Linked DNA regions of Pelodiscus sinensis. The protein of the gene in region 1 purifies or fractionates together with the protein of each later gene. This does not show direct contact. Links are inferred from orthologs where the notes say so. Each region holds a gene or a part of one and is shown in the gene's direction. Other genes may lie near its edges. The genes, in order: CANX, ITGB1, GXYLT1 and TMPO.

What was found.
Region 2: the proteins of CANX (region 1) and ITGB1 purify together in Homo sapiens (affinity purification with mass spectrometry; 3 studies listed by BioGRID and IntAct, with this or other methods). This does not show direct contact. The link is inferred for Pelodiscus sinensis from reciprocal best matches to the Homo sapiens genes CANX and ITGB1.
Region 3: the proteins of CANX (region 1) and GXYLT1 purify together in Homo sapiens (affinity purification with mass spectrometry; 3 studies listed by BioGRID and IntAct, counting the BioPlex papers as one, with this or other methods). This does not show direct contact. The link is inferred for Pelodiscus sinensis from reciprocal best matches to the Homo sapiens genes CANX and GXYLT1.
Region 4: the proteins of CANX (region 1) and TMPO purify together in Homo sapiens (affinity purification with mass spectrometry; 3 studies listed by BioGRID and IntAct, with this or other methods). This does not show direct contact. The link is inferred for Pelodiscus sinensis from reciprocal best matches to the Homo sapiens genes CANX and TMPO.

What each region holds. Positions count from the first base shown.
Region 1 is NC_134727.1:34,174,748-34,182,591, forward strand, and holds the start of CANX (calnexin), read left to right. Parts: upstream 1-4,826; 5' UTR 4,827-4,967; intron 4,968-5,181; exon of another isoform or gene 5,182-5,340; intron 5,341-5,758; exon of another isoform or gene 5,759-5,783; intron 5,784-7,844. UniProt on the Homo sapiens protein: Calcium-binding protein that interacts with newly synthesized monoglucosylated glycoproteins in the endoplasmic reticulum. It may act in assisting protein assembly and/or in the retention within the ER of unassembled protein subunits.
Region 2 is NC_134712.1:230,380,011-230,387,294, reverse strand, and holds the start of ITGB1 (integrin beta-1), read left to right. Parts: upstream 1-4,273; 5' UTR 4,274-4,500; coding exon 4,501-4,509; intron 4,510-7,284.
Region 3 is NC_134711.1:53,283,499-53,291,128, reverse strand, and holds the start of GXYLT1 (glucoside xylosyltransferase 1), read left to right. Parts: upstream 1-4,621; 5' UTR 4,622-4,734; coding exon 4,735-4,949; intron 4,950-7,630. UniProt on the Homo sapiens protein: Glycosyltransferase which elongates the O-linked glucose attached to EGF-like repeats in the extracellular domain of Notch proteins by catalyzing the addition of xylose.
Region 4 is NC_134711.1:83,218,998-83,225,990, forward strand, and holds the start of TMPO (thymopoietin), read left to right. Parts: upstream 1-3,988; 5' UTR 3,989-4,381; coding exon 4,382-4,621; intron 4,622-6,993. UniProt on the Homo sapiens protein: May help direct the assembly of the nuclear lamina and thereby help maintain the structural organization of the nuclear envelope. Possible receptor for attachment of lamin filaments to the inner nuclear membrane.

The sequences.
Region 1 (7,844 bases):
GGCTCTCTGACTCACCCTTAGTTGTGGTCATCTCCCCTCACACCACATTTGTGGTGTTGCCCTCCTTAAAATTTATTTTAAAAAACCAGGAATGGTTTCCTTTAGACTGCAGTTAACCAGTGACTACAGGTAAACTTTCTGATGTATGTATTTTAAAACACCAACAATGACCTCCTGTCATGGAGCTGTGTTTTCCCTGTGGTGTCTGTCATCTCTCTCGCTTTCATCACCCGTCTTGGCATTCTTTGGGTGGATCTCAGTAACCTGTGCTTGCTTAAACACCAACTCAGCCAAAACTCTGGTGTGTGCTGCTTTTCAGTATACCCAAAACAGTTTTACATTAACAAAAAAAAATCCTGTTATACCCTGACCTGGGCAATACATTCAGACACTACTAGCACAGCACCCATCCTTTGTTAGAACAGGCCACTCAAGTGGTATCTATCTAGAAGTTATGGTTAATGGTGCTAGCAGTCTGTCTCAACTTTCCCTAATTTTTGATCCCTATTTACTGCTAGCCTACACTGACCTTTTTGTAAGCTATGCAGAGGGAATAGGAGCAAGAGACTCCTTCGTTTTCATCCTTGCTGTGCCAGTAATTTCTTGTGTGATCTTACAAATACTGCTCCTCCTCTCAGTGTCTCAGTTTCCTATTCTAAACAATGGGGAACAGTACTTTCCCCACTTCACAACATTGGTAGGAAAATTATGAAGCTCATGTTTGCAACATACTTATCATTTACATAACATTTTACATCTACGGTGCTATATCTTGTTTCAGAGAAATGAATGCAGCATAGCTTAGATTTTTCTGCATGATATAGAAAACGTTATCAGAATTTTACATCAGTATTGTCTCAGTGGCACGCATAATAAACTGGGCTGTGTATGTGCATAACTGCCATCTACTGGATAGAATTGGAAGAGCCCAACAATGAATCACAAAACGGTGTTCTGCTATTGGAGAGTCTTCTTTTAGTTTGTATTTGTGGAACAAAAGAGTGGGAATTCTGTCCTGACTGTTGCAGTGAAGTCCTAAGTGGTGAGCAGCACAGTAATATATGTGGAGACCAGGTATGCAGGTATAAAAATGTCATTTAAAAAAAATCACACCCCAAGGCCTCAGATGTAGTGCTAGGATGGCCATTGACAGATCTCCAGAGTACTTCTTGCATGGTGTGGGCCTGCCACCTGCCAGAATGGCCTCTCAAGGACAACTAGCTCCTACTGCATGCCCCGTCAGTAGTGACACCAGGGCTGTGTCTACATTGGCGCTATCTTGCGCCAAAGCAGCCGCTTTTGCACAAAAACATGCTGCCTGTCTACACTGACGGGGAGTTCTTGTGCAAGAACACTGATGTTCTAATATGTGAAATCAGTGCTTCTTGCGCAAGAACTATGATGCTCCCGCTCAGGAATAAGCCCTTTTCCACAACTGTTCTTGTGCAAGAGGCCAGTGTAGACAGGCAACATGAATTTCTTGCGCAAGAAAGCCCGATGGTTAAAATGGCCATCAGAGCTTTCTTGCACAAGAGAGCATCTACACTGGCACGGATGCTCTTGCGCAAAAGCAAATCTCTTGCACAAAGGCACATGCCAGTGTAGATGCTCTCTTGTGCAAATACTTTAACGCAAGAACTCTTCCATTAAAGAGTATTTGCGCAAGATCATGCCAATGTAGATGTAGCCCTGGACTGTCTGGCTTAAAACTTTCAGAGGGTTAGCCAAGTTAGGCTGTAACAGGAAAAACTTAAAACACAACAAATAGTCTGGTAGCACTTTAAAGACTAATAAAACACATAGATGATATCATGAGTTTTCGTGGGCACAGCCCACTTCTTCAGATGACTAGAGAATGGAAGGCCTGCCTAGATCCTGCATGTCCTCTTTTTAGGCTTGCTCTCAGTTGGTCACAGCTCTATGTTTTGAGGAGTGGGTTTTGGGTAACGTACAGTGCTCAGGATGAAAGGGAAGGATGTGCAAGTGTGTTGAGAGGTGTGTTATCAAATTGCTGTAACTGTCTTGCAGTTACAGATTGGCAGACTTAGGCTGAAGAAAAAGACTAGCAGCAGGCAAAATACAGCCTGTTTGCCACAGCCTCAGGCCACTCAAAGCAGCCAGCTGCTGAGGCCTTGTGCGTCTAGGCACTGTGTACCCCTTGCAGAAGTGGGGGAAACTTTGTGCGCTGCCCCCACCCCCAGCCCAATCATCACAACTCCCATTGGCTGAGATTGTGCTGGGGGTAAGGGCAGCATGTGAAGTCCCTGTCCCGTCCCCGCCCCGCAGCACAGTGCAGAGGAACATGGCCCCAAGCAGCCAGCCACTTTGAGCAGTCTGGGGTTGCCTGAGTCCCACTGGGCAGCTGACAAAGCACTGCCTACCAGCCAGAACCTTCATTTGGCATCCCACCCCCTCCCATACCCCAACTCTCTGCCCCAGGTAACCACCCAAATCCTTGGCACCCCTCTGGTACCCCTACCCCAGGTCACAACTCCCTCCCAGACTCACGTGCCCTCCTATGCTTCTCTCCAGTCTAGAATCCTCTCTTGCACCGTGTGACGGGGTTTTGGAGCGTAAGCTGCCGCCGCTGAGGGCAGGGCCCAGCGAGCCCTCCCTCTGTCTGTCTTAACCTCCCCGGGTCGGCTATATGGGTGCGAGCCTCTGCCCCAAGTCTGAGGGCAGGGCCCTGTGGGCCCGCCAACCCTGTGGGGACTCTGGCCCTCCCTGTAAGAACTTTCTCCATCAGATTAGGCTTGTGGATGGATGAGTGGATCGAGGAGGTGTAGGGGGACCCGGGCCCTCCCTCTCCACTGGGTCCCAGCCCGGGGCCCTTAGGGTGGGCTTGGCCGTCCCTACCCAGCTGATGGGGATTCCACCCGAAGCTCTCCAGCCCACAGGCACCAGAAGCGCTGTGCCCTGGGCTGCTTCCTAACACCCCCTCGACTATTGGGTCCCTCTTTGGGGACCCCAAGAGTTATCCTTCCGGCGGGTCACGATGATCTCTGCGCGGAGTTCTGGTTTGCCCGGCCACTTTCCAGCTTTTGCCACCGAGGAGGAATGAACCGTTTCCCCCGATTCTGCAGGCTGTCCCCAAAGCTGGAGCCACCCCTCCATCTTCTGCTCTCGTCCTTTTCAAGGGTGCCGCCATGTTGCGCTTGGGAGCATGGTTCTGCCCCCTGCCGTAATCCCCACAGGCGTCCAGCCCCGGGCAGGGGTTCCTCCCTCCTCTGGGAGGGCCTGTGTTGCTACCGGGGCTGGCCTCAGGGCTGGGGTGGTGATCGGGGTCCCGCCAGGGGTGGCCCTGGCTCGAGCCACCCCCCCACTTTCCCCTCCGTCTGCCGCTACCTCCTAACCTCTGCCCCAGGTTGGGCCCTGCCACGGGTGCCACGCGGGATGCCGTGGCGGCGCTCGGCTGCCCCTCTCCCCGGCCATGATCGGCTGCCACGGCTTCCACGCGGCTTGCAGCCAGCAGCTCAGCCCCCGCCGCACTCTCCAGAGTGCGGGCTGTGTCCGGCCCATCACACACCTATACCCCCTTCCTGACCCTGCACCCCCTACTTTGTACCCCAATCTCCTGCCCCAGTGTACCCAAACCTTCTGCACCCCTCTCCCAGGTCAGAGTCCTCTTCTGCATTCAATCCCCTGCCCCAGGTAACACTTCACTCAAACTCCCTCTCACACCCTGCACCCTCGCTGCACTCCAGTCCCCTACCCTGAGCTCCCATTTATTCCCATCTCTGTGCCATACCATGGCATGCCCTCCATAGAAAAGTGCAGCTCTTGACCACTTACCAAAATCTTGGAGTGGCCCCCCCCATCAAAAATTATTGCCCACCTCTGGAACAGACTGAGGGATAACAGTTCCTTGGTTGTGCCTTAAGCACTAGCCCCTATGCAGATCTCTGCCAGCTGTCCCGCCCCACCTCCTATGTTGACCTCTTCCAGCCCTCTCAACCCTTGCCCCAGCACTAGCCCCCAGAAGCAACTGGTGAGGTAGTTTCCAGGGGGGAAAGCAGCCATATGCTCCCCCCACAACCTGAGGAAGGCCTGGAACAACCCTCCTCTGCCCCAAGCCCTGCCTCTCTCTACCCCTTCCCCACCCTTGTTCCTCTCCCACCCCATCTCTTCCTTCTGCCACACCACTTCCAGTGAGTGTAGGGGCAGTCCCACCACTCCCCAAGAGCAGCACCAGCAAGAACTGCCTTACTATGCTTTCCCCGCATCAGCCCTGCTGGGGAGTGTGTGCGTATGGGCTCCAGCAGCTGTTGCTGGTCAGCCCTTCAGGGGTCAGTGCCGCCCTCCCCCTGCACTCATGGATAGTGCCACAGCAGAGAAAGCCTCTGCTAGTTCCCACCACCCCTCCCAGCATTGGCCTCTTATGGCTTCTTAGCAGAGCACTCACAGCTGGGTTTTGATTTTACTGGTGGTGCACATTTGCATGTGCCTCAGTGCACATACAATTATTCTGCACATGGACAGAACAGAGGGAACATTGCTGCCAGCTCCCCCTTCCCAGCACTGGCCCCTATCCTGGCCTAGCGGCTACACTGCTCCCAGGAGCAAGGACAGGACCTAGGCACCGCTCCTTTAAGAAACCCAACGCTTCCTCCTGCAGGAATCTGATTCTTCTTCTCTCACGCTCCACCCACCTCCCCGTGTTAGCCAATCAGCGCACACTTCCTGCGCAAGCGGCCAGCCAATCACCGCGCTCCACGAAGGGCAGCGCCGTAGGGGCGTCGCTTAAGACGGGAGAAGCGGCGCCATTGACCAATGGGAATGCGACATACGCTCCGGCGCGGGAGGTCGATTGCTGGCTCAATCAATGGGGAGGTAGGAGTGGGGCGGAGCTAGCGCGCGGTAGATAGGCGGGCGGGAGGGCAGGCGCGCGCGCGGGCGGCCGCTCCGGCTAGGACACGTGACGGGGGTGTTGAGGCTGCGGACGGCGGCTGCGGGGGGCGCGTGGCGAGGTGAGTGGGGGTAACCCCCGCCCGGTAGAATCGCAAGGCCGGGCCTGCTTCTCTTCCCCCCCCCCCCGGGCTGCCGGGGAAGGCTCTGCCCGCGGGGCATGCTGGGGCATTGGCGGGGGGCGAGGGCGCGAAGGGCCGGGGGTTGGGGTGGCGGGCGCGGAGTTCGCAGGCGCGGGGCGTGGCAGGGCTCGGCGTGAGGGGGAGCGAAGCCCTGTGGGACGCGGCGGGGCTGGGCCTGTAACGGGTTTGCGAAGCCGGGGGGGGGGGGGGTCGGTGCGGCCCCCGCGTGTCCGTTGCCAGTCCCGGCTGGGAACCCGCCGGCGGAGCCCGGGACGGGCGAACGGAGGCCGGCGCGTGGCCAGCCGCGTCCAAGGTGCGCGCAGGGCTGGGTGCCGCGGCTCTTCCATTCCCCCCTCTGGGCTCGACCAGTGGCGGGCGAGGCAGCCCGTTCTGGTAGCTTCTTGTCGTGGGTGGGGCGAGCGACTGACACTGGCCCGCGTGGCCGAGGGCTGCGGGGGCATGTGCTCATCCCAGTGCGATGCGGCGCAGAGACTGTGGGCTTGGGCGGAGGCGAGGTGGAGGCCGAGCTGGTGGGGTTTTAATATGCGTACGGGGGAGGTGAAGTCACTAGGACTGGATCTGCCCTTGCCAAAAATCGGGGTGTTCAGAAATGGCTCTTCTGACCGGGCGTTTCTGCAGAGGGTGAAAGATGCAATCAGGACTGGAGCAGTATGACTGGAGGGAAACGGGTGGAAGTTACTGGAATGAAAGAGTTCGGACCACAGAAATAAGAGTGGAGGAGGAAACAGAAATAAGGTGTGGAGGAGGAAACGGAAATTAAACAATATGCCTAGTAAAAGGCATGTAAAACAAAGGTGACCTATAAAGTGCAGCACTTTATACAATTTAAAATGTATATCTCCTGAACATAGCTTCTATTTTTTTTTTTTAAAGCTGTGTGTCTTTTTCAAGGCAGTATGTAATGGAACCCTTGCTGCTGTTCATTGTGGTGGTCTGGCATCACACAGACCTTGAGTTAAAGTAGATGCTTTCTGTCTTGCTACCTCTAATCTTTTTAGATAGCTCTGAATGGGAAAGTAAAGGGAGAGTACTCTGGACTGAACAAGAAATGCAGCGATTGAATTACAGAGTAAGCAGCCATCTTCTTGGAACTTTTATCTGAGTTGACAACTGCCTTCGAGTATCATGTCTGCATAGAGCCTGAATTAATTTTTCATGGCAAATATCCAATAGTAGTAGTAGTAGTAGTAAATATTCATTAAAATGTGGAAGGTAATTGACTTATCTCTGTTAGCAGTGCTCTTTAGTTGCTGCAACAATTTTTGCAAATGGTTTTATATTTGCAAAAATATAGAATATAAAAATATTCTAGTCACACTAGAATGGTTTGCAGTTTGTGTGCACTTGAAAATCAGGCTTAGGAGTGTTCTTGACTAGAGGTGTGTGTATCAGTTACCTATCCTGATTTGGCAATATTGTTGTCTGGCTCTAGGTGTGGTGCCCCAGAGAACTTGAAGGCTGGTTTATAGGCAGAATGATAGTAACATCAGTGTGCGCTAGTGAAATTGGGGAGGTGACAACGCATAGGATAATACATCTTTGAATAACAACCACCGAGAACAATAAAATATTTGCATTTATGTTCAGTCTGCAGTTAGTTCTAACTTGCAAAACTCTCATAATGGTCTTTTCAAAGATACTATTAAAATCCAGCCATAAAATCACCTGGCTTCAGCCCAAAGTACTTTCACTTAATTCTAAAATTATTGTGTATAAACTTCTTAGACTCAATAGAAATGTTGTTTAAAATACACTGAAATTTCTCTACACCATTTACAATTGAAATGCTACAGTAATGGAGTAGGGCAGGCGTTGGGAACCTTTTTTCTTATCAGGGGCCATTGACCTCCAGAAAAACATCAATAGTGGGCCATATTCAGCTCTGTCAGGGAGGGTGTTGAGGGTTGGGCCAAAACGAGAACTTTGAAGTGTAGAATGGAGTTCAAAATTGGGATGTAGGAGGGGGTGAGGGCTCTGAGTGGGGGTGCAGGCTCTGGGCTGGGATTGAGGGGTTTGGTGTGCAGGAGGGGGCTCCAGGCAAGGAGTGAGGATGTGGGTTTTTAGAGAGCGTTTGGGTGCAAGAGGGTGCTTAGAGCTGGGGCAAAGGGATGGGATGTAGGAGCTTACCTCAGGCAGCTCCCATTCACAGTACTGTGGTGCTAAAGCAGGCTCCCCACCTGCCCCGATCCTGTACCTCTGCTGCAAAGCGGCCATAGCTGGCATTTCCCTGTGGTCCCTCATGCGGGGCGGGGGGCCGGGGGAAGAAGACAACACACATGCTGTCCTTGCCTGCAGGTGTCACCCCTGAAGCTTCATGAGCAAGTGGTGGTGCTGACAATTACAGCCTGGCCTGGGGGGGGGGCGCGGCGCAACACACCAAGGCTCAGGGCTTTTAGCCTGTGGCATAGAGACTTGATGCTGGCCAGATTAATTTAATCAGGGGGGTCTTTAATGTGACACCATCCCTACAGTTAGTTTTTAAACATTTCCCTTCCAACAGCTTCTGATCCTAAGAATTCAGTGTAACTTACTCAGTTTTTTCCCAAATAAACTTAACTTTGTCCCCTTCTTCCCTCTCCTGCCCATTCTGCATTTATGGCATTCATATTCCTGTCTCTTCAGTGCTTGTCTTCATCCATTTAACTTGGCACCATAATGGAAAACTCCACCTGGAAGAAAGGCTGTTGCTTTTGATCCCAAGACAAATTTGAGTTGGTTTGCAAAAGTGACAGCAAGACTGCTAAGTATGCTTTTCCCACTAAGTGAATTCTTGTATCTTGAGGTATTTCCATAATT
Region 2 (7,284 bases), on another chromosome or scaffold:
ATTTGCTCAATAACATGTGGAATTTCAAGTACTCATCAGAAATTAGGATTTGTCTTATAGGACCCATTCCTGCTAGATGATGAACATTGTAAAACCAACAGGAGTTGAGAATGGCCACCTTATCATAGGAAGGTGCTACACACCATGGGAAACCAGGATTATAGCGAACAAAGCCTTGTAAATATGTTGTCAACTCTAGTTCTCCAACTAGGCACCAAGTATTTATTGACTCACTCCACTCAGATCCTTGTCCTAGGCTGGAAGCCTAACTCTGATGTAAACCGACAACTCCATAATGGCCACATTTTATGATGTTGACTAGCTGCCTGGCTAAATTCACTTACCTACTCTCAGGCTACATCTATACTGCAGCCTGCTTCCACAAAAGCTTATGCAAATGAAGCACAGAGTAGAATATCACTGCACTTCATTTGCATAATTAATTAGCAGCAGTTTGTGCGCAAGAGGCTTTAGTGCAAAAAATGAGGAAGAACGGCTCTTGCACAAGAGGGTGTTTTTGCGCAAAAAGGTGCCGTCTACACAGCTCCTTTTTGTGCAAAAGTCTCTTGCACAAAAAAGACTGCTAATTGCTTATGCAAATGAAGCATGGTGATATTCTACTCCACACTTCATTTGCATAAGCTGTTGTGGAAGAAGGCTGCAGTATAGACGAAGCCCCCAAGAAGTGTTATCATTAGAGAAGAGAAGAAACAAAAAGAGGCTCTGATCAAAAGTATTACTGCAACTCTCTAGCATCATCACTTCCTGGACAAAGTGACCATGCTTTCTAATAATAATTTCTGCCTAGCATCTTCTTCATTCTTATCCTCTAGGACACATTACTCCCTTCCTGTTGGAGATATCCAGTGTTTTCCTTCTGAAAACTCTTCTGTGTTCTAGGAATGTTAAGGACTAGTTGACTAGTCCACTATCCGATAAGCAAATGTCCAATAAGCGGCAGCACTGCATAGCTGATCCGAGGGTCCATGGGGTGCTGCCCCTTTGAAATATTGCAGCATTTCAAAGTGGTGGCACTGCCTCTTTGAAAAACCACGGTGTTTCAAAGGCGAGCACCGCACGGAGCCCAGGATCAGCTGTGTAGTGCTGCCCCTTTGAAATGATGCAGCAGAGTTTCAAAGGGGCAGCGCTGCCCTGTCAACTAATCAAATAGTTCATGCAAAAATGCATCAACTATTCAATTCGTGAATTACTCGATACTTAACATCCTTACTATGTTCCCGCTACAAAAGTACAGAATCGAGGCACATAGTAACAATAGACAAGATACCCTGGATAACTCTGCTCTCAGTGAAAGAACTGGAAAATAAAAGTGCTGATACTACAGAGACAGTGTGATCCAGTGGATAGAGCACTGGACTGACTTTCAAGAGACCTGGCTCTGTTACTGACCTGCAAAGTGATATCAAGAAAGTTACTTGGATTCTCTCCTTCCTCTTTCACTTTTTGGCTTGTTGATTTAGACTCTAAACCCTTCAGAGCAGAAACGGTGTCTTTCTTTTGTACAGTATCTAGCACAAGGAGGTTCTGATTTCTATTAGAACCACTAGCTGCTACTTTAATATAAATAATAATTATTAATACTTATATAGTACTTTACAACATCAAAGCAATTTGCAAAGACTAAATAACTATTCCTCAGTAGGCAAACAAGTATAATTATTCCATTTTACTGGTGAAATTGAGACAAAAAGGGTATGTCTACACAGCAAAGAAAAAAAACCACACCGTGTGAAAAGGTCCTAGAGCTGAGGCTCCAACCCAAGCTCAGAAGTCTAAACACCAATGAAACAGCCTTATAACCCAAACTCCCTGAGCCAGGTCAGCTGGCATGGAACTGTTGTGAGTTTTTCTTGTTTGTGTAGACATACCCAAAGAGATCAGAGGTTCTCAAACTGTGTTTCATGGAGCACTGACAGTCAATAGAGCACTTGCTGGTGGTCCACAGAGCTGGCTCTTCCTTTTTACTGCCAACCCTTAAACTGCATTTAAGAATAGCTTTAAAAACATGAAACACTTTTCTAAAATTACTCTTCATGTAAGCAATTACTGTAGTTGCCACATGAGTGTTATGCAGTGAAACACAGAAGGAAATGGTCTGCACAGCCATTAGTGGGAGCATGGAACAGTTTCTGTATTAAAATGTAGTCCATGAATGAAATTTTCAGAACCCCATAGATAAGAACCAGTGGTTAGATGAATTCATCTATCTCTAATGGTTAACTAAACCAAATGTGCCTAAGAAACCCAATACAGGCAGTGCCCGGGTTACGTACAAAATAGGGTCTGTAGGTTTGTTCTTAAGTTGAATCTGTATGTAAGTCGGAACTGGCATCCAGATTCAGCCGCTGCTGAAACTGATCAGTTTCAACAGCGGCTGAATCTGGACACCAGTTCCGACTTACATACAGATTCAACTTAAGAACCCCAGGCGTCCCCAAGTCAGCTGCTGCTGAAACTGATCAGCAGCTGATTCCAGGAAGCCCAGGGCAGAGCAACTCTGCCTCCGGCTTCCTGTAGTCAGCCACTGGTCAGTTTCAGCAGCGGCTGACTTGGGGACGCCTGGGCAGAGCAGCTCGGGTGCTGCTCGGGAGCACGGCCGCTCCTCGGCGCTACTGGACCAACCCAGCAGCACCCCAGCTGCTCTGCCCCAAGCGTCCTGATTCAGCCGCTGCTGAAACTGATCAGCAGCGGCTGAATCAGGACTCCTGGGGCAGAGCAGCTGGGGTGCTGCCGGGTTGGTCCAGTTAAGCTAAGGAGCGGTGCTGCGGGACCAACCGGCAGTGCCCCACCTGCTCTACCACAGGCCCCGGGCTTCACTCCACGTCTCCCTGGTCTGCTGGGGGGGGCACTAGCTGCGTCCCCCCCCAGCAGACCAGGGAGATGCGGAGCAAAGCGGCGGAGGACCCGGGCCGGACCGTGGCACTTCCAGATCAGCTGGAAGCGCCGCGGGTCCAGCCCCGGGTCCTCCGCCGCTTTGCTCCCCGTCTCCCTGGTCTGCTGGCTCCCCCAGCAGACCAGGGAGACAGGGAGCAGCTTTTCTCGCCCCGGAGGAGGCGGGCAGCGGGACCAGGTGTCCCGCCGTTCCAGTCCTCCGGGGCGAGAAAATCTCCGTTCGTAACTGAGGATCCGACATAAGTTGGATCCACGTAACTGGGGGACTGCCTGTACACAAAAGATGCAGGCATGGCCTGAGGCGGGCTGCGGCAGCTGGCAGCCCAGGAGGAATGCGTGATCAGTGCCCCCGCCTGCATGGCTGTCAATGGAGTGACGTCATCATCAGGCTCCTCATTGAAGGAGGCACCCTAGGCGATGGCCAAGTCGGCCTATAGTCATGGGCCGCCACTGAAAAGATGTCACACATATTAGTGATGTTAAATTTTGATTAATCAGCTAATTGAGTAGTCTCCATCGACAACTTGTATTAGTCAATAAGGGGGGAGGGATAGCTCAGTGGTTTGAGCATTGGCCTGCTAAACCCAGGGTTGTGAGTTTAATCCTTGTGGAGGCCATTTGGGGCAAAAAATTTGTCAGGGATGGTGCTTGGTCCTGCTATGAAGGCAGGGGACTGGACTCAATGACCTTGCAAGGTCCCTTCCAGTTCTAGGAGATAGGCAATCTCCATTAATTTAATTTAGGGGTGAGTAAGATGCTCCCTATTCCCACTTGTGTCTTTTAAATGTAGTAAGGGGCCCACTGGGGCTCTGACTACATTTAAAAGTCAGAGGCACAGCAGGGAACCTGTAGTGAGCTGGGATTCAAGCAGTTTGGTGGGGGAGAAGAGCCCCTCTGGATGGTCTAGGCACCATGTCTGCAAACATGTCCCTCCCCCTGCTACCAGAGTCCCTTTTTAACCAGACTTTCCCTACTTTCCAACTAGGAAGGATAGACACTTTCTCTCTTAGCCACGGGTCTCATTCCATCACTTGGAACCAGGTGAGGAGGCCGCAAATAAGCCGCCGCCGCCGCCACACCAAACATCGCGCAACTGGCAATGAAAATCTGGCGCGTTGGCAGCCCACACTGCCGCAACCTGGCGGGGGGGAGTCCCTCACGCTTTGCCAGCAGCCCGGGCAGAGCGGTGCGAGGGCGAGCGGCGCTGCAGGGGCGGGATTGTCCCGGGAGGTAGGGGAGTTGGCCCAGTGCCCTGTTCCCAGCTCCGGGCCCTTCCCGCCCAGAGCCCACAGGGCACCGATCCCTCCCCCGGCCCTAGCTGCGCGCTCCCCCGCCCACTGGCGGGGCCTGACGGCAGCAGGGAGGAATGCGCTTCCGGAGGCGGAGGAGGAGCGGCGCGGCTGGGCCCGCACCCAATTCCCACCCCCTGCGGCCCGCACACAGGGCGCCCAGCGAGCTGGACGGAGGGAGCGGCGCCGGGCTCCGCGACACGCAGGGAACCGCGCCAGGGCTCCCGGGCATCCGTGGGGACAGACCTGAGCCAGCCGGGCTCCGAGCGCGCTTCTGCCGCCGCCTTCTCCCGCGGCCATGGCCAAGGTACGGGGCCGGGGGCCGCGCTCGCTGCGGGGGCGGGTTTCCGCCCGCTTGTGCCGCGGGCCAACATGCCCCCTTGTGCGAGGAGCCCGAGCTCCCGGGAGAGACGGGGGGGGGGCTGCCTGGGGCCCCCAGGTACGCGGGGCTGGGCCCCCTCCCGAGCGGGCTGGTGCAGGGCACCGGCCGCTGCTGCCCCGGCCCAGTCTGGGGGCTAATGTGTGCGGCGCCACCCGGCTCGGTGCTGGGTCTGGGCCGCGCGGGGAGCCAGTGCCGCCCACCTTCGGGAAGCGCCAGGGCTGGCTCCGGGTTCGCTGCAGGGCGGGGCTGCCCCTCACCGGGCCTGGCCCGTGTCAGCCTGGCCCAGGGCTCCCGGCCCTAAAGCCAGACAAGGACATGCCCTGGCCCTTTGTCCGCTGCCGCCCAGCCATTCAACTCCTTGGGGCTCGGCCGCAGGGCTTGCCCGTGCGGAGTGGCCGCTACATACCCCGTGGCACTTTCCATAAGGTTGGGCGCTTTGTCCCGGGCCTCCCTGAAAGGAGGGAGGGTGGGGGCTCATCTCCTCTGCTCCTGCCTTGTGAAGGGTGCTGTAAGCACCGCTGCTTCTCAGTGGCGTTTGTGAAATGCAGTGGGTGTCTTGAGACTGTGGAAGTTCAGTCTTAATCCTCGTTCACTCCAACAGTACTAGCTAACTTCTTAACACACTTGGATGTGTTCCTAAGGTGCAGTAGAAAAACAGTTAAAAGACAAGGTCTTTCCCTGTCCCGAAAAAGTTTTAGACAGGAAGGCAACAGGGAAGGAAGGCTTGAGCAAAGACCGAGCCACAGTAAAAAAAAAAAAAAAAAAATCACAGAGAGCCTCCTAGATCTGCAAATTCTATTATGTTAAAAAAAAAAAAAAAAAAAAAAAAAAAAAAAAAACTTGAGAGGGATTGCTATTTTGGATTTTGTGGTTTTCTTTAAGTACTTTGAGTAATGCCACTGACCAAGTGAATTCAGAAATATCTAGATTTAAATAAGCCTTTTGAAATCATGAGGCCGTGGTAATAAAGATATACTTTATATTTCCGCCCTACTGATGATTCACGCTCCTGTCACAAAAATTACTTACCTCAGGCAAATCATTAAGTAGCATTGTGTAATGCTCCTTAAAGCTATATATATAAAACTTGTGGAAATAGGGAACAACTAGTAATAAGTAAGTGAGATCAAATGAATTAAGGATAAAACAGTGTTAACTTTTGTCCTTTAAAATGTTTGAAATTAAATTAGGGCTGTGGAGCGATTAAAAAATTAATTGTGATTAATTGAGTTGTTAAACTAACAGAATACCATTCATTTAAATATTACATATTTCAAAAATATTGATTTCAATTAGAACATAATACAAAGTGCACAGTTCTCACTTTATATTTATTTTTTATTACAAATTCTTGGACTGTAAAAAAAAAAAAGTATTTTTCAATTAACCTAATATAAGTACTCAGGGGGTAGAGACTGTTACTTAAAAAACTAGTGGTCTTGTAGCATCTCAGTGACTAACAAATATATATTATGAGCTTTCGTGGGCTTTCTGAAGAAGTGGGTTGTGCCCACAAGACCTTCTCATGATAATATATTATTTTTGTTAGTCTCCAAGATGCTACAGGACTACTCATTTTTCATTTTTTAAAATACAAATACTGTAGTGCAGTCTCTTTATCAAGAAAATTAAACTTAAGTGTAGAATTGTGTACAAAAAACTGCATTCAAAAATAAAACAATGTAAAACTTTAGAATCTACTTGTTCAGCCAGTCATTCAAACAAACAAGTTTGGGTTATTTGCAGAAGATAATGTGGTTTGCTCTTGTTTACAAAATCACCTGAAAGTGAGAACAAATGTTTCCATGGCACTGTTGTAGCTAGCATCTCAAGATATTTACGTACTAGATGTGCTAAAGACTCATGTGTCCTTTCATGTATCAGCTGTCATTCCAAAGGACACGCATCAGTGACCATGATGGGTTCTATTAAATAGCAATTCAAAGCATCTGAGTCAGGTGCCACCAACAGAAGGTTGATTTTTTTTTTTTTTTTTTTTTTTTTGGTGGTGGTGGTTCAGTTGTTCCCTGTCGGAGTGTTGCTCTTTTAAGACTTCTGAAAGCAGGCTCTATATCTCATCCCTCTCAGATTTTGGATGGCATTTCAGATGCTTAAATCTTTGGTTGAGTGCTGTAGAAATCTCACATTGGTATCTTCTTTACATTTTGTCAAATTTGCTGTGAAAGTGTTCTTAAAGTGTGCTAGGTCAGCATTAGAGCCTTAGATAAAAAAATGTGGATCTTCATCCCCTTGGTGCAACTCCTCCCTAGCTCAGTGATTTTCAAACTGCAGTCCACAGACCGCTAGTGGTCCACAATCACCTTGCAAATGGGCCACAAGTCAAAACTCAGCCCCTTCCCCTGCAACAAGGAGTCTATGCTGGTGCTCCAGTCGTGCTCTTCCCGTATCCCCATGAGATTGGAATGCCAGCACCAGCTTCCTGTTGGGGGGAGGTAGAAAGCCCAGAGGTTTGCTGCTGGATCCGGCCTGTGAGTGGAGCAAGCAGCTCTGCATACTGCTGCTCCCCGTTCCTCTGGCTGGAGGAACAGTGGCACACAGACACACTGCCTGGAGGCTTTCCCCACTGCTCCCATTGGCCGAAATTGTGATACAGTAATTGGGAACAGTGGAAAGCATGCCTCGAATGCAGTGGCTGGGAGTGGCACCTGGGAGCAGCGTGGGGTTCAAAGCCTGGTAACA
Region 3 (7,630 bases), on another chromosome or scaffold:
GAAGCATTTTTATTAACAGTTTATCCCATATATTAGTATCACTTCACTCTATATAATTTTGTTTTTAAGAAATTAAACTATGACTGAAGGAAATTCAGTTAAGTCTGCATAGCAGCAACATTTTTTTCACACATGTGTGTCATTGCTGCCAAGTGTGCATACTACTTAAAGAGTTTTTCAAAAGAAGGAATACTTACGTTCTATGACTTTTGGTGTAATCTACAGTATAAAAATTTTCCTGGGATTTGTTGCAGGCAGGGGATAAGCAGGTAGAAACTGAAGGATGTCACTGATGTGCTGAATAAACATATCAACCTTCATGAAGCAGTGTCCCTTTCATGTGGTCAAGCATCCTCCTTCAAATTCCTCCTGAAAACCCAATTCTTTAGTCTTGCTTTCCTCAGCTGACTTCCTATCCTGTGGTACGGGATCCTTCCCTCATCCCTATCTCAGAACTTTTTTTAAATTTTTTACACCTCTGTTAAGATTAAATTGCAAAATATCATATCTTATTCCTTCTTTATATTTCATTTTGTCTCTTATTTTTCTACTTTACTTATATAAATGACCATAAGCAGGGACTGTGTATGTACATGTTTAATATTGATAATAAAGAACTTATAGGATCAGCAATATAAAGATGTGTGGCAACAGTATTTCAAAGGAACTGAATTAAATTGATACTGACACATTAAAATGGCAAAAAAACATAAATCTGCATCAGAACACATTTCAGAACATAAGTTCTCAGAAGTTTAAAAAAACAAAAACGAGAAAAGAATGAAGTTGAATGTATCCCCTGTCAATGGTGTGGTCTAATTATTAAATGAAAATATGTATAGGTTAATAGTTTTAAGTCTACAACAGTGAACTGTTTATTCAAATGAGAAGTTTTATTTGGCGATTAGAGATATTTTCTTAATCTCAGAATTTCCTGAGAAAATAAATGCCAATTCTGGAGTCATTGGCAGTACGGATAGTTATACTGGAGGGAAATTAAGGCTAAATGATAGCACTGGAAAGAGACCTTTCCCATTAAGTTGTATCTTGTGGTGGAGTCAGGACCTCTCTTGTAAGTGGAGGACCTGATGGTGATTGAGGATACGTCTAGACTAAGTTCTTCTTTCGAAAGGAGATATGAAAATCAGCACTAATTTCCATATCTTCTTTCAATTGCTTTTTCGGAAGCAGTTTTTTCAAAAGAGAAAGCAGTTTAGACTGAGTTGTTTTTTCCGGAAGAACCCCCCATACATCATTTTTTAAGAAGAAAGGTTCTTTTGAAAAAGGGGGGTTCTTTAAAAAAAAAAAAACCTGTCTAAACTGCTTTCTCTTCCAAAAAAAATGCATTCGAAAAAGCGATCAGAAGAAGATATGCAAATTAGCACCACATTTGACTACATTCTTTTTTCAAAAGGAGATATGCAAGATGTACCCCGAGATTGTGATCTGAGCAAATAAAGGTTCTCAGGTGGAACATAAGAGTGCTCTCCCTGAAGTTCCAGATGTCTTGTCCGGCTATACTGAAGTGGTTGAGCAGTTACGGTTTGTGCCATAATCAAGGGAGTCAGAGCCAGTACGATTGGTAGCTCAGGAGCTCAATGCTTGCCTTTTGCTGGTATGATCAGTTCTCAAAGTTTAGGTGCCAGAGATGCTCTTGCCACTGCAGCACGGTATGGTGCTAATGGAGCCCTGGATTTGTGGACTTCCTTGTCATGACCCTGACACATTAAGGACAATTTAAGTCCTCCTTGGCTGAGTGGAAAGGCTTGTTCAACTTAGTTAGGGTTGTATCCAACTTCCTTAAAAGAGGATTTAGAGGCGGGTTTGACTAGGATTTATGAAAACTTTCCCTGTCCTCCCACCTAGACCGTGACAGGAGCATGTGGCATAGTTCCCCTGATCCTAAATGAGGCCATGCACCAGGAAGGGCACTCTTTGCTGAGTCAGGCTGAAGTATGGAGAGGGTCCGCAGCATGGGTCCAATTGCAACTTCTTCGTCTTCTCCATTAAGTGTAAGGTGAAGCTCCTGCAGGTGCAGCTGGGGAAAGTATGTCTCATACTGAACCCTGCCACAATGTGAGCTTCCCCAAGGCAACATAGGCTATGCTGATAGCCATCACTTACTGAAAAGGAGCACAGATTTTGAAGCCTGGATTCCAGGGAATTAGCAGGGGGCCAGGGGACGGGAAGGTGGAATTCCACAGGATGGAGACAATTATAAAGCTTAATTTAAACCAACGATCTCATTCTCCTAGCCCACTGAGAAGCAGTGGATGTGGTATACCTAGACTTTAGTAAGGCATTTGATACGGTCTCGCATGATATTCTTATCAATAAACTGGGCAAATACAATTTAAATGGGGCTACTATAAGGTGGGTGCATAACTGGCTGGATAACCGTACTCAGAGAGTAGTTATTAATGGTTCAAAATCCTGCTGGAAAGGTATAACAAGTGGGGTTCCACAGGGGTCTGTTTTGGGACTGGCTCTGTTCAATATCTTCATCAACGATTTAGATATTGGCAGAAAGTTCGCTTGTTAAGTTTGCAGATGATACCAAGCTGGGAGGGGTTGCAACTAATCTGGAGGATAGGGTCATAATTCAAAATGATCTGGACAAATTGGAGAAATGGTCTGAGGTAAACAGGATGAAGTTTAATAAAGACAAATGCAAAGTGCTCCACTTAGGAAGGAACAATCAGTTTCACACATACAGAATGGGAAGCGACTGTCTAGGAAGGAGAATGGCAGAAGGGGATCTAGGGGTTTTAGTGGACCACAAGCTGAATGAGAGTCAGCAGTGTGATGCTGTTGCAAAAAAAGCAAACATAATGCATCTCAGAATCAACAGGTGTGTTGTTAGCAAGACACGAGAAGTCATTCTTCTGCTCTACTCTGCGCTAGTTAGGCCTCAGTTGGAGTATTGTGTCCAGTTCTGGGCACCGCATTTCAAGAAGGATGTGGAGAAATTGGAGAGGGTCCAAAGAAGAGCAACAAGAATGTTTAAAGGTATAGAGAACATGACCTATGAAGGAAGGCTGAAAGAATTGGGTTTGTTTAGTTTAGAAAAGAGAAGATTGAGAGGGGACATGATAGCCTTTTTCAGGTATCTATAAGGAGGAGGGAGAAAACTTGTTCATCTTGGCCTCTGAGGATAGGACAAGAAGCAATGGGCTTAAACTGCAGCAAGGGAGGTTTAGGTTGGACATTAGGAAAAAGTTCCTAACTGTCAGGGTGGTTAAACACTGGAATAAATTGCCCAGGGAGGTGGTGGAATCTCCATCTCTGGAGATATTTAAGAGTAGGTTAGATAAATGTCTATCAAGGATGGTCTAGACAGTATTTGGTCCTACCATGAGGGCAGGGGACTGGATTCGATGACCTCTCAAGGTCCCTTCCAGTGCTAGTATTCTATGATTCTATGGGCCATTCCCAGCTAGAGTGATAGACTAAACTAGACTAGAGAAACCAAGGCAGTTCGTAGTTTTAACGTGTGTTAGCAAGTAGAATTAAAGAATAGCATGTAGAATTAAAGCACGTAAGGTTACCTTGTCCTGATAATTCATATAAAAACTAAAAATATACTTGGTTTTCAGTCACATTTTACACTGCACTGAGTTAAGTCCATACTCCCCCCCCCCCCCCCCCCCACACACACACAAAATGTAGTTTGAATGGCTGCTCAGATTGAGAGTTGCATCTGGAATTTCCTAATAGCTAGTTTCCAAGACAAAAGTTGTGATCTTTTTGCTTAAAGGGAAGGGGATCAGCCCTTCACCAAGATAGCAGCAATGACAGCAACCACCTAAGGAAAGTTATGTTTTCTCCCCTCCCACAAAAGGACAGCTCATCTCTGCTAGCCTCATCTACAAGTCAGAGAGAGAAGAGGGGAAACTTTGTTTTAATTGGTATGTTGCAAGCATAGGCTACTATCTGCCAACCCTGTTAGAGTGGAGGTCAGTCACTCTTTAATGCTGCAGAAATTAACAAAGCTTTTGGGTGCACAGCATTGGGTCCGGAGATGCACCTCTTGAGTACCATGCTAGTGCCCCTGCAGGAGTGTCCTTAGGCATAGGCAGCAGCCTAGTTGCCCCAAATTTAGTGGGTCTCCAGCCCGTGCTTGTACCTTTTGCCTGCTGCTCTGAAGCTGCAGCTGAGCCTCCCTTCCTATCCTGCTCTAGGGTTGCCAACTCTTCAGGAACTGGGCCACTGGGTGCAACTGCAGCAGACAGCAGCTTGTCTGTGAAAGTTGGCAGCCTCCTGCCCCTGCAGCTTGTGCCTCCCGCCCACTCGCTCGGGGGGAGGTGGGAGCCAGAGTTGGGCTGCATAGGTGATCAGTGCTAGTAGGAATGGCCCTGCACCCCCATCTTACTGCCCCCACCACAGCGCCCTTTCTTCCAATGTCCCCCTTGCATAGGTGACTCGTGGTAGCACTCAGGAGGTGCACTGCGCCCCATGGCCCTGCCAAAATTTTAACTGCTAAATGGGGTGGCCCTACCCCCGCAGCCGCCTGTCGCCCCCTCCAGGACGCCTCATCATCTCGCCGTGGCAGGCACCGCCATGGGGCGCCCTGGCCTCACCCATTTGCCCCACCCCGGCACCTGGCTCCTCCCAGCCCCGCCCTCTCGGCGAAAGCCTGCCCCACACCCGGGGGACGCTACCGCTACCTCAACGCGGCGAGGGCCTGTCTGAGCCCCGCGCGGGGCTGCGCTTGGGCCCTGCCGGCGGGGCGGGATGCGGCGCTACGTGCGCGTGGCGCTGCTGTGCCTGGGCTGCGGCTTGTGCTCGCTGCTCTACGGCTCCAGCCAGCTGGCCCTGGAGCAGGAGCCCGGCGCGTGGAAGCCGCGGGCCCGAGACTCCGCCGCTCCGGTCCGCAGACAGCGCGGCAGCGGCGGCGGGAGGGCAGCGGCGGGAAGCGCAGGCCGCGGGGAGCCGGAGCAGCCAGACAGGTACGGATCGGCCCCGTCCCCTCAGCCTGGCTGCCCCGTCCTCCCTACGCCGGGGGGTGTTACCGGACCCGCGCCGGGGCTTTCCCGGAGCTGGGCGGCTCCAGCCCCGGCATCCACGGCGCTCTGCTGCCGGCGGGGAGCTGCCAGCGCGAGTCGCTTTTCCGCAGGAAAGTTTGCGAAGCACTTTTCAGGCCCTGCCCCCGCCAGGCTGGAGCTGGAGCAGTCCCGCCGCGCTGCGGCTGCTCGCGTCTCCTCCTGGCAGCGGGAGCGCTACTTAGCCGGGGTCTCAGCAGCCAGGTCTGGAGGGACTGGACCGGACCCATTGGCTCTGCCCCGACCCCCGGGAGCAATGGCGACGCGCTCTCTGTACCAGCTGGTGTCACATCCCGGAGGCGGCGCCTCTCTCCATCACATTATAGCAGCGGCTCAGCCTGTGGGCTGCTGGGGCCGCTAAATGCGTCATGACCCTACTTTAATGGGGTCGCCCCAGCTGGTGTTAGTTGCTTGCGGAGTCAGGGGGAAGCTGAAACACAAACGCAGGTTGCAGCCACCTCCCCCGCATGGACGGGGTCGAGCTTTGATCCTTCCTCTTGGAGTGGTAAAATAATTGTATCATTAGAAGGGAGTTGTGGTGCAATGAAGTTTGGGAACCCATGAGTTATAGTAATCTTGTAGGGCTGTTGTTTTAAACCCCCTCTAGGGGGCCATGAGCAGGTTTTCGGCGGTCCTCCATGCATGGCCAGCATTAGACTTGCTGGGGTTCAGGGCAGAAATTCCTGCCATCCAGGGTGGAAGCCGAAGTTTTAGCAACTTAGCTTCCTGGAGATCTGTGTGGCATGGGGCCCCAGACAATTCCACTATTGCTATCCTCTAATGCTGGCCTTGGCTTTTATATAGAAGAACAGTTGTGGCATACATGGGCTGGGGGGGAGGGAGTTATTGTATGTTAGGGGGCCTCAGATGGAGAAAGCTTTTGAACCTCTGTAACAGGGTGTACGATGAAAGGGGTGGGGTTAATCTAGTTTGGCTAGGAAATTACATGTGATTTGTAGTTTGTGTAGGTGGTTTAAACAAATATAATAAGGTCTTGAAAAATAGCACTCTGATAAGATAGGAGAAAGGTGGCATCTAGTCAGACAAGTTTTCAGGGGAAGTTTGTCATGTGACCAATAAGACAAAATGTGTCTGGGAAAAGGGTCTCAAATTATAGAAGATTGTTTAAAAACTGGTTCTAACAGATTAAGCAAAGTAATTTTTAATGTGATAAATGTATAATGTCTTGTTGCACACCAATGATATAATAAAATATGGACCTTTGTAAGAAGATAAAACGTCAGGTGCAGCTGGTTTTAGGATTCATACATAGATAATTTGAAAGAGAGAGACCCAGACACCATATCCTGTTTTAGCCAAGGCCCAGAAAGGGGTTGTACTCAAACAGATCAAAATGTGGTTTGTTTGCTTTTAGCTGAGCTAATAATGCTCAATAAGTTATCAGTTATTTTTAGAACTGTATAAAGGAGCAAGGCTTTTTCGGGTATTTATCAGATCCTATATGATCATGTTGGAGCAGACCAGGATGAGAGTATTATCCCAGGACTGATCCTTTCATGAGTATTCTGAACAAATGCTTATGAATGTTTGCTACTGTATCAATGTAGTAAGTAGTTGCTTATTATTTAGACATTTAGAGCAGGGGTTCTCAAACTTCATTGCACCATGACCCCTTTCTGACAACAAAAATTACTACACAACCCCAGAAGGTGGGACTGAAGCCTGAGTCCCACTTCCCCAGATTGGGAGGGGGTGGACGGAAAGCCAAAGCTGAAGGGCTTCAGCCTCAGATAGGGGCGTGTAACCTAGCCCTGACATCTAGGTTGAAGCCCTTGGTTTTGAGGCCTGGGGCTTCGGCTTGGCTTTTGAACCCCAGCAATTCTAAGCCAGCCCAAGAGACCCACAGTTTGAGAACCACTGGTTTAGAACAATTATAAAAATGCTACATATCTTTTTATTTAATTGAGAAATGTATGGTTAAATTATTGTCTTGTTCTACCTGTATTAATTAAATGAATAATAATTTTGACATAGTGACGATTTCAAAGCAGTATCATTGACATTAATTGCAATTTCTCTAAATGCTGCATCCCACTTGTTCCCCAAGAAGGTTGTGACCTATATTCTGGGGCCACAATAGAGTTCTTTCCTAGAGCAATTTAATGATGTAAGGGAAATGAGGATGTACTTTAGGTACTTCCGTAGAAGAATTCTTGGTACAGCATGGTGAATACCACTGCAATTTTAAGTGAATTTATGGTTGAAATGATGTCATGGTGATATTATATATAATGGTATTAATTCTAACATTCCAATATTGGATAAAACATTTAGGCAGAAAATGTTTTTTTTTTTTTTAAGTTCACTATATCTCTTTGGTTCATTATTGACAGGGGTTTTTTTGGTTCTAAGGAAAAGTTCACTTGATTGCACTTTAATGTCCCATTTGAATACTATTTAAATAACTCGTGCCAAGAAAGTACTTTCTATTTTAAATGTTCTGAAATATCTAATAATTGAACAAACAGCAGTGTTTGTTTGCACAGTAGAGTCTAATCAGACTCTTTATTTATTCTAGTAAAGGAATTAATGTTACTGAATACTACATGACTGCATCATAGGTTTGT
Region 4 (6,993 bases), on another chromosome or scaffold:
AGTTCTATAGTTACTTGTATAATTCCCCATGTGAACATTCTTACTGTGGTAGATGAGTGCTTTTTTCTAGCTTAGCCTATATTGCCTTGGAAGCAGTTTAAGCTAACCAAAAAAGCCACTCATCCCAGAATAAAGGGCACCACAACAGCCTATAAGTTTTTCCTTTGAGACAGGTATTCCATCTCTCCAATTGACAATACCTATGTCAAGAAAGGGATTTTTCTATTAGTCTTGATGTGTCTACATGGGAGACTAAGTTGACTGAATGATGTATAAAGGCCAATCTAAATGTTAAGTGTAAACCAGAGATGACTCCCCAGTATAACTACAGTGGTTTAACCATACAGTCTACACTAAAAAAGCTGATAAAAATAACAAGATTACTCAGGGGTGTAAAAAGTCTGTGTTTTTGTTGACATAGGTACCCTCACTGGGTGTTTCTGTACATATGGGGGAGGGAATTCTTTTGGTGTAGGCTGCATCTATGCTGCAGGTAATGCCAATGTAGCTACATTAATATAGCTATGCTGGTATAACTTAGCCTCGAGAGCCTATGGTTGGGGTAATCTTTAAATTGTAAACTGAGTGTAAACCAATGCTATGATGTCTATGCCTACACTAAACCTGCAGCTGACTATAGAGATATGAACATCAATGCACATCAAAGTGTTGCACTGTAACTCCCCGTGTGAAAGCCAGTGGGCAATAATGTAGTTATGCTCATCCTCATGGAGTAGATACAGTGTAGCACTTCGGTGCTCACTGCTGTCTACAGCCCTGAGGCCACTTTCCCCTGGCCCCAGCCCTGGAGCCCCTGATACTGTGGCTGATATGATTAGGTGAAGCAAAATGCAGGACAATGTAGCACTTTAAAGACTAACAAAATGGTTTATTAGATGATGAGCTTTCGTGGGCCGGACCCACTTCCTCAGATCAAATAGTGGAAGAAAATAGTCACAACCATATATACCAAAGGATACAATTAAAAAATGAACACATATGAAAAGGACAAATCACATTTCAGAACAGGAGGGGGATACAGGGGGGGAAGGAAGGTAAGTGTCTGTGAATTGATGATATTAGAGGTGGGGAGAGTGGGATGTCTGTGAACTAATGGTATTAGAGGTGATAATTGGGGAAGCTATCTTGGTAATGGGTAAGATAGTTTGAGCATTTGTTCATTTCTTCCCGGAGAGTGTTGAATTTTAACATGAATGACAGTTCAGAGGATTCCCTTTCAAGTGCAGATGTAAAAGGTCTTTGTAGCAGAATGCAGGTGGTTAAGTCATTGAGAGAGTGTCCTTTCTGGTTGAAATGGCAAGAAACTGTTATTTCTTTGTGATCTTGTCTGATATCTGTTTTGTGGGCATTAATCCTTTGGCGAAGTGTCTGAGATGTTTGTCCAATGTACATAGCAGACTGACACTTTCGGCACATGATAGCATAAATTATATTTCTGGATGCGCAGGAATATGTGTTCTTGATTCTTGGTAAGAATCATCTTGAGGTTAGGTGGTTGTCTATAGGAGACTATGGGTCTGTCTCCCAGAGCCTCTTGGAGTATGGTATCCTGTTCCAGTATAGGCTGTAGTTTATTGATAATGTGTTGGACAGGTTTAAGTTGGGGGTTGTAGATGATGACAAGATTAATCTGATATGATTAGGGTCTGTCATGGTGTCACTTGAGTAGATATGCAGACAGAGCTGGCAACAGGGTTTGTTGCAGAGTTTGGTTCCGGATTCATTTCTAAATATATAGTAAAATATCTGTACCGTAAAAAAGATAAAAGAAAGAACATTTTTCAATTCACTTTATAAAGTACTGTAGTCCAATCTCTTTATCGTGAAAGTGCAATTTATAACTGTAATTTTTTAAACTGCGCTCAAAAATAAAACAACATAAAACTTGAGAGCATTTAAATGAGAAGCATTAGCATTATCTCCTCTAAACTTAAACAGATGTTTGACTTAGCAATTGGCTGAACAAGAAGTAGAACTGAAGGGACTTGTAAGCTCTAAGTTTTACATTGTTTTGGTTTTGATTGAAACCAATTATTTTAAAAGTAAAAATTCTACCTTTATAGGTGTACTTTGATGACGAAAAGATTGCACTACAGTACTTAGAGGAAAATTGAAAGGTATTATTTATCTTTTTAACGTGCAAAAATTTGCAATAAAAATAATATAAAGTGAACAATGTACACTCTGTATTTTGTGTTGTTAATGAAATCAAAATATTAGAAAATGTAGAAAAGCATCCAAATATTTATAATAAATTTAAACTGGTATTCCATTAATGTTTAACAGTATGATTAAAACTGTGATTAATCACAACTGTTTAATATCTTGCTATGGTGATTTTAAATCCTTTGATAGCCCTAATATTTAGATTCAAATAAAAATAGTTGTCTTTGTTTTTTTAAGAAATGCATAAAATATTCTATTAATACAAATTGGTTATTTATTTCCAGGCTATTTGACTTCATTATTAGTGCCAGAGCCATATATAGGACCTTTTACAAATGTGAGAAAGCAAGTTCATTGCCCCAAGGACCTTGCACAATCAATGGTTTCAGTCATAAGAACATAAGAATGACTATACTGGGTCAGACCAAAGGTCCACATATCCCAGAATCCTGTCTTCCAACAGTGACCAATGCCAGATACCCCAGGAGTGAACAGAACAGGGAATCATCAAATGACCCCTCCACTTGACATCCATTTCCAGCCTCTGACAAACACCATTTCTACCCATCTAGGCTAATAGCCACTGATGGACCTAACTTCCACGAATTTATCAGTTCTTTTTTGAACCCTTCTATCGTCCTGGTCTTCACAATATCCTCTGGCAAGGAGTTCCACAGGTTGTCAGTGTGTTGCATGAAGAAAAACTTCCTTTTGTTTGTTTTAAACCTGCTACTGATTAATCTCATTTGGTGACCCCTAGTTCCTGTTTTGGGAAGAAGTAAATAATGTTTCCTTATTCACTTCTTCCATATCATTTATATTATAGACCTCTATCATATCCCCCCTTTAATCTCCTCTTTTCTAAAATGAAAAGCCCCAGTCTTTTAAATCTTTCTTCATATGGGACTCATTCCAAACCATTTCTGAACCTTTTCCACTATCAATTTTTTTTTAAATGAGGCGACCGCTTCTGTACACAGTATTCAAGATATGGGCTTGCCATAGTTTTATACAGAGGCAATAAGCTATTCTGTTTTATTCTCTATCACTTTTTATTGATTCCTAAGATTTTGTTTGCTTTTTTGACTGCTTCTGCACATTGAGTGGATATGTTCAGAGAACTAGCCACAATGACTCCAAGGTCTCCCTCTGGAGTAGTTATAACTAAATTAGTCCCCATCATTTTGTATGTATAGCTCGGACTATTTTTCTAATGCACATTATTTTACATTTATCAACATTAAATTTCGTTTGCCACTGTGTTGCCCAAACACTTAGTTTAGTTCTGCAATCTGTTCCTCATAGGCACGTTCCTTCACTCCTGAAGAAGCTGTGGCATCGGCACTCAAGGGCAATGCAACGTCCCTTTAAAAACTGCAATACAGTAAAGCGATTTATTTCATTTTTATGTAGCACTCGCAGCTTTTAATAGCAAAAGCAACTTCTTGGCTGGAGTCCATTTCCTCCGCCCGGTCAGTGCCCAGGTCAAGGCTGGGGAAGGCCAGGTCCGCGTGCGAGGAGGAGGCACATCCCCAAGCCTCCCACTGAACGTGCCTGTTGTGACAACCATGGGACACGCGGTGCTCCGATCACGCCTCTGGGGCTGGCCGCCGCTGGAACCGTCCCCACGCCACCAATGGAGCCTTCGCGCCGGGCTCCAGGAAGCTCTGACACGTCTCCCTGAAACAGCGGGCAGCAAACCCCGCGGTGCCCCTGCCAGAGCGCGGCTGGAGGGGAGTCGGGCACTTCCTCCCCAGGCAGCGGTGTCGCCCCGGCCCTTCTCCAGCAGCAAAGGCCTCGACCTCCTCTGGGCGGGGAGGGCTCATGTGGCGCCAATGAGGAGACGTCAGAGGCGGGAGGGGGAGCTTGTGCCGTGCTCGCCGGCGGGGGGCGGGAGGCAGCAGCACGCCAGCCCCTCTCCCGCCTGAGCTGAATTTAAACTGCGTTACTACTCCTCGCGCAAAGCACTAATGTTGGTGAAACCCTCGCGCCGCTCCCCCACTCGCCCCCGCAGCCAATAGCAGCACCACTTCGTGAGTCGCCCGGCCAATCCGGACGCGCTTTACTGGAGGTCGGGCGAAGCCCTCGCCGAGCGCGCCGCGAGTGGGGTTCATCGCGCTGGGCAGGGGAGGCGATTTCCCATCCCCTCCCCCCTTTGTTGGTGTCTGTCCCGGGAGAGCGGCAGAGGCCGGCGATGCCCGAGTTCCTGGCGGACCCGTCGGTGCTGACCAAGGAGAAGCTGAAGAGCGAGCTGATCGCCAACAATGTGAGCCTGCCGGGCGGCGAGCAGCGCAAGGACGTGTACGTGCAGCTCTACCTGCAGCACCTCACCGCCCGCAACGCGCCCGCCGCGCCCGACTTCTCCAGCGACGAGGAGAGGGAGCCCACCCCGCTCGGTCCCAGGGGCAGAGGAGGAGGCGGCACCCCCGGCCGGGTAAGAGTCCGCCCCCCCCTGCCGCTCGGAGAGCTTAGCGCTGCCACACAAAGGGCTCTGGCGGCCCCTGCCTGCCGCCCGCGCTCCCGCCCCTTTACCCTTCCCGCGCATGTAGACCCGCCCCTGGGGAGCGGGCTGCTGGCGGCGTGCGCCGCTTCCCGCTCTCCGAGGTGCGGGGCGCGCCCTGGCGGCCGCGGCCTGTCTGCGGAGCTTGAACTAGGGTTAGGGGAGAGCGCGGTGCCTTCCTCGCAGCCCAGAGTTTTCGGCGCCTGCGGCCCCCGCGAGCCAAGAGCGGCTCTCAGTGGCCGGTATGAGCTTCTCGGTACAGACCTCTTCCCCGAGGGTCTCCAGCGTGCGGGGTGCGCTGCGGCGGCAGCCGGGGCTGTTCCCTGCCTGTGCTCAAGGAGAGGGGCAGTTTGCCGGAGGGATTTCCTTTCTTTACTTCAAGCTAGGGCGTACTTTGTCGTGTGAGGCTCAGGAGCTCGCTGAATGCCGACCGCTAGCGCTAGGATATCTGCGGGTGTAATGTTCGGCTTTGCTGGAAGACAGGTCTTGTTCCTGCTTCTGTACACTTTAGTAATGAAGTTGCTGGGCGGGAAGTTCTTTAGTGGATGCTTATTTATAGTATGCAAAATAAAATAATATGGTAACTGCAACGATTGTGTTTGTAGCATGTTAGGTTCTTACGTTGTAACTCGGATTGGAGAGAGGTGTTGCTGTTTGTGTGTAAAATATTTTATAAAGAAAGACCAAGTTTTAGACCAGCTTTCCCATGTCTGAAAGTCCAGAAACTTAAACTTCATTAAAGGAAGAGATCCCAGGCTTCTATCCACAGGATTGTCTTTGTGATCTAAACTTACTTACTCTCCCCTATAGAGTTGCCCACTTGCCTACAGTTACATGTGTTCCTGCTTCCAAGAAGCATAAATGCAGTATCTGACATGATTTAATGTGAGTTAACAAATAATCAGACAGTTGGCAGAAGACAAGGGAAATATCAAGAAGATAATTAAGCTCCAGTGTATGCCATCACTAAGGTTATGGTTTTTTCAGTAAGCTAGATGTGAAACTATTCTACTTGTTCAAGTTAGCCCCAAACAAGGTTTGTTTAGTCCAGTGAGCATCCATGTGTCTCTCTTGAGACTGGATAAGTCTATTGTATGTTTTAGAACAGTGATACTAGCACTTGCATATTTTATATAAAGTGACTAAGCCATATCTTGTGGCATTGATACTTAAGTGCTTAGTAACTGGTAAAGCATGCTAATCTTTCCTTGTGATGGAGTGAAGAGCTATTTAAGCAATAGCTGTGGGTGCTCTGCTAATCAGATGAAGTGCATTTGAATCTCCTGAATGCCTGCACAGCTTATAAGGAACACTGAAATAGTATCCTGCTGTTGCGGGTTCATCATGGTGATGACTGAAATACTACTTGTTTAGATATAAATCATTGTAATTTGAAATCCAAAATAAATTGTTGTAATTTAATAATATTGCTTAAAAATTAGCATCTTGGGTCCATTCAGCTTTACTAAAATTTGCAGAATATAGTCCCAATATCTGTTCAATAACTTGAGCTCTGTGTATCTGTGAGGGGCAGACTACATAGAAGCCTTCTCTGCTGTACTCCCATGTTCAAACTTCCCTACAAGTTTTCAGTTTTAGTTAACATAGTGAGTTCCTGGATCTGTACAAATGCTACTGATTCAGGAGTTGCTCTCAAGGGTTTAGATTTGTGTACGATGAGTCAGGTGTACCTAAAGGTGAAAGGCAACAAACTTAAATGTAGAAAAAAAGAGAACTGTTAAGTAATAGTGGCTGGTTTGAGCTACAGTTACTTTTTTTAATGTGCAAAGGAATTAAAATATCAAATTGTGAATATAGCTAATTTTTCAGTGATCTCATATACATGCCTTCCTCCACAACCCTTTTCCCTCATACTGTTGCTGCTTGTTTCAAATTAATCTTGGTGTTCATGGTAAGGACTTTTTTATTTCTGACAGGTATAGAAGCACCACCTACCTGTTAAGGTTCAGCATTACCCATTATACTACCCTTTTGTCATTTGCTTATAACTCTGCTGCACTTTTTCATGCTGGCTGGCTGCCTCAGGCTAAGAGGAGGTGGTCTTCTGTGTTCTCAGTGAGCCTCCCCTAATTTCTAGGCTCAGGTGGTTTGGTAGGAAAATTTGTGTGATTCTAATAAAACGAGGACCAGACACAGGCCTACTCAAGAGCTGGGAGTGGGAATAGGTTGCCTGAGACAACCTGGAAGATTTGAGAAAAGATTGGGACTGGGAAACCATTGGGATGGAGGTTAGAGTTCCGCAAAGAGCCAGGGTATTGGGTGGGAGAGACTGAGGAAAGAGACTG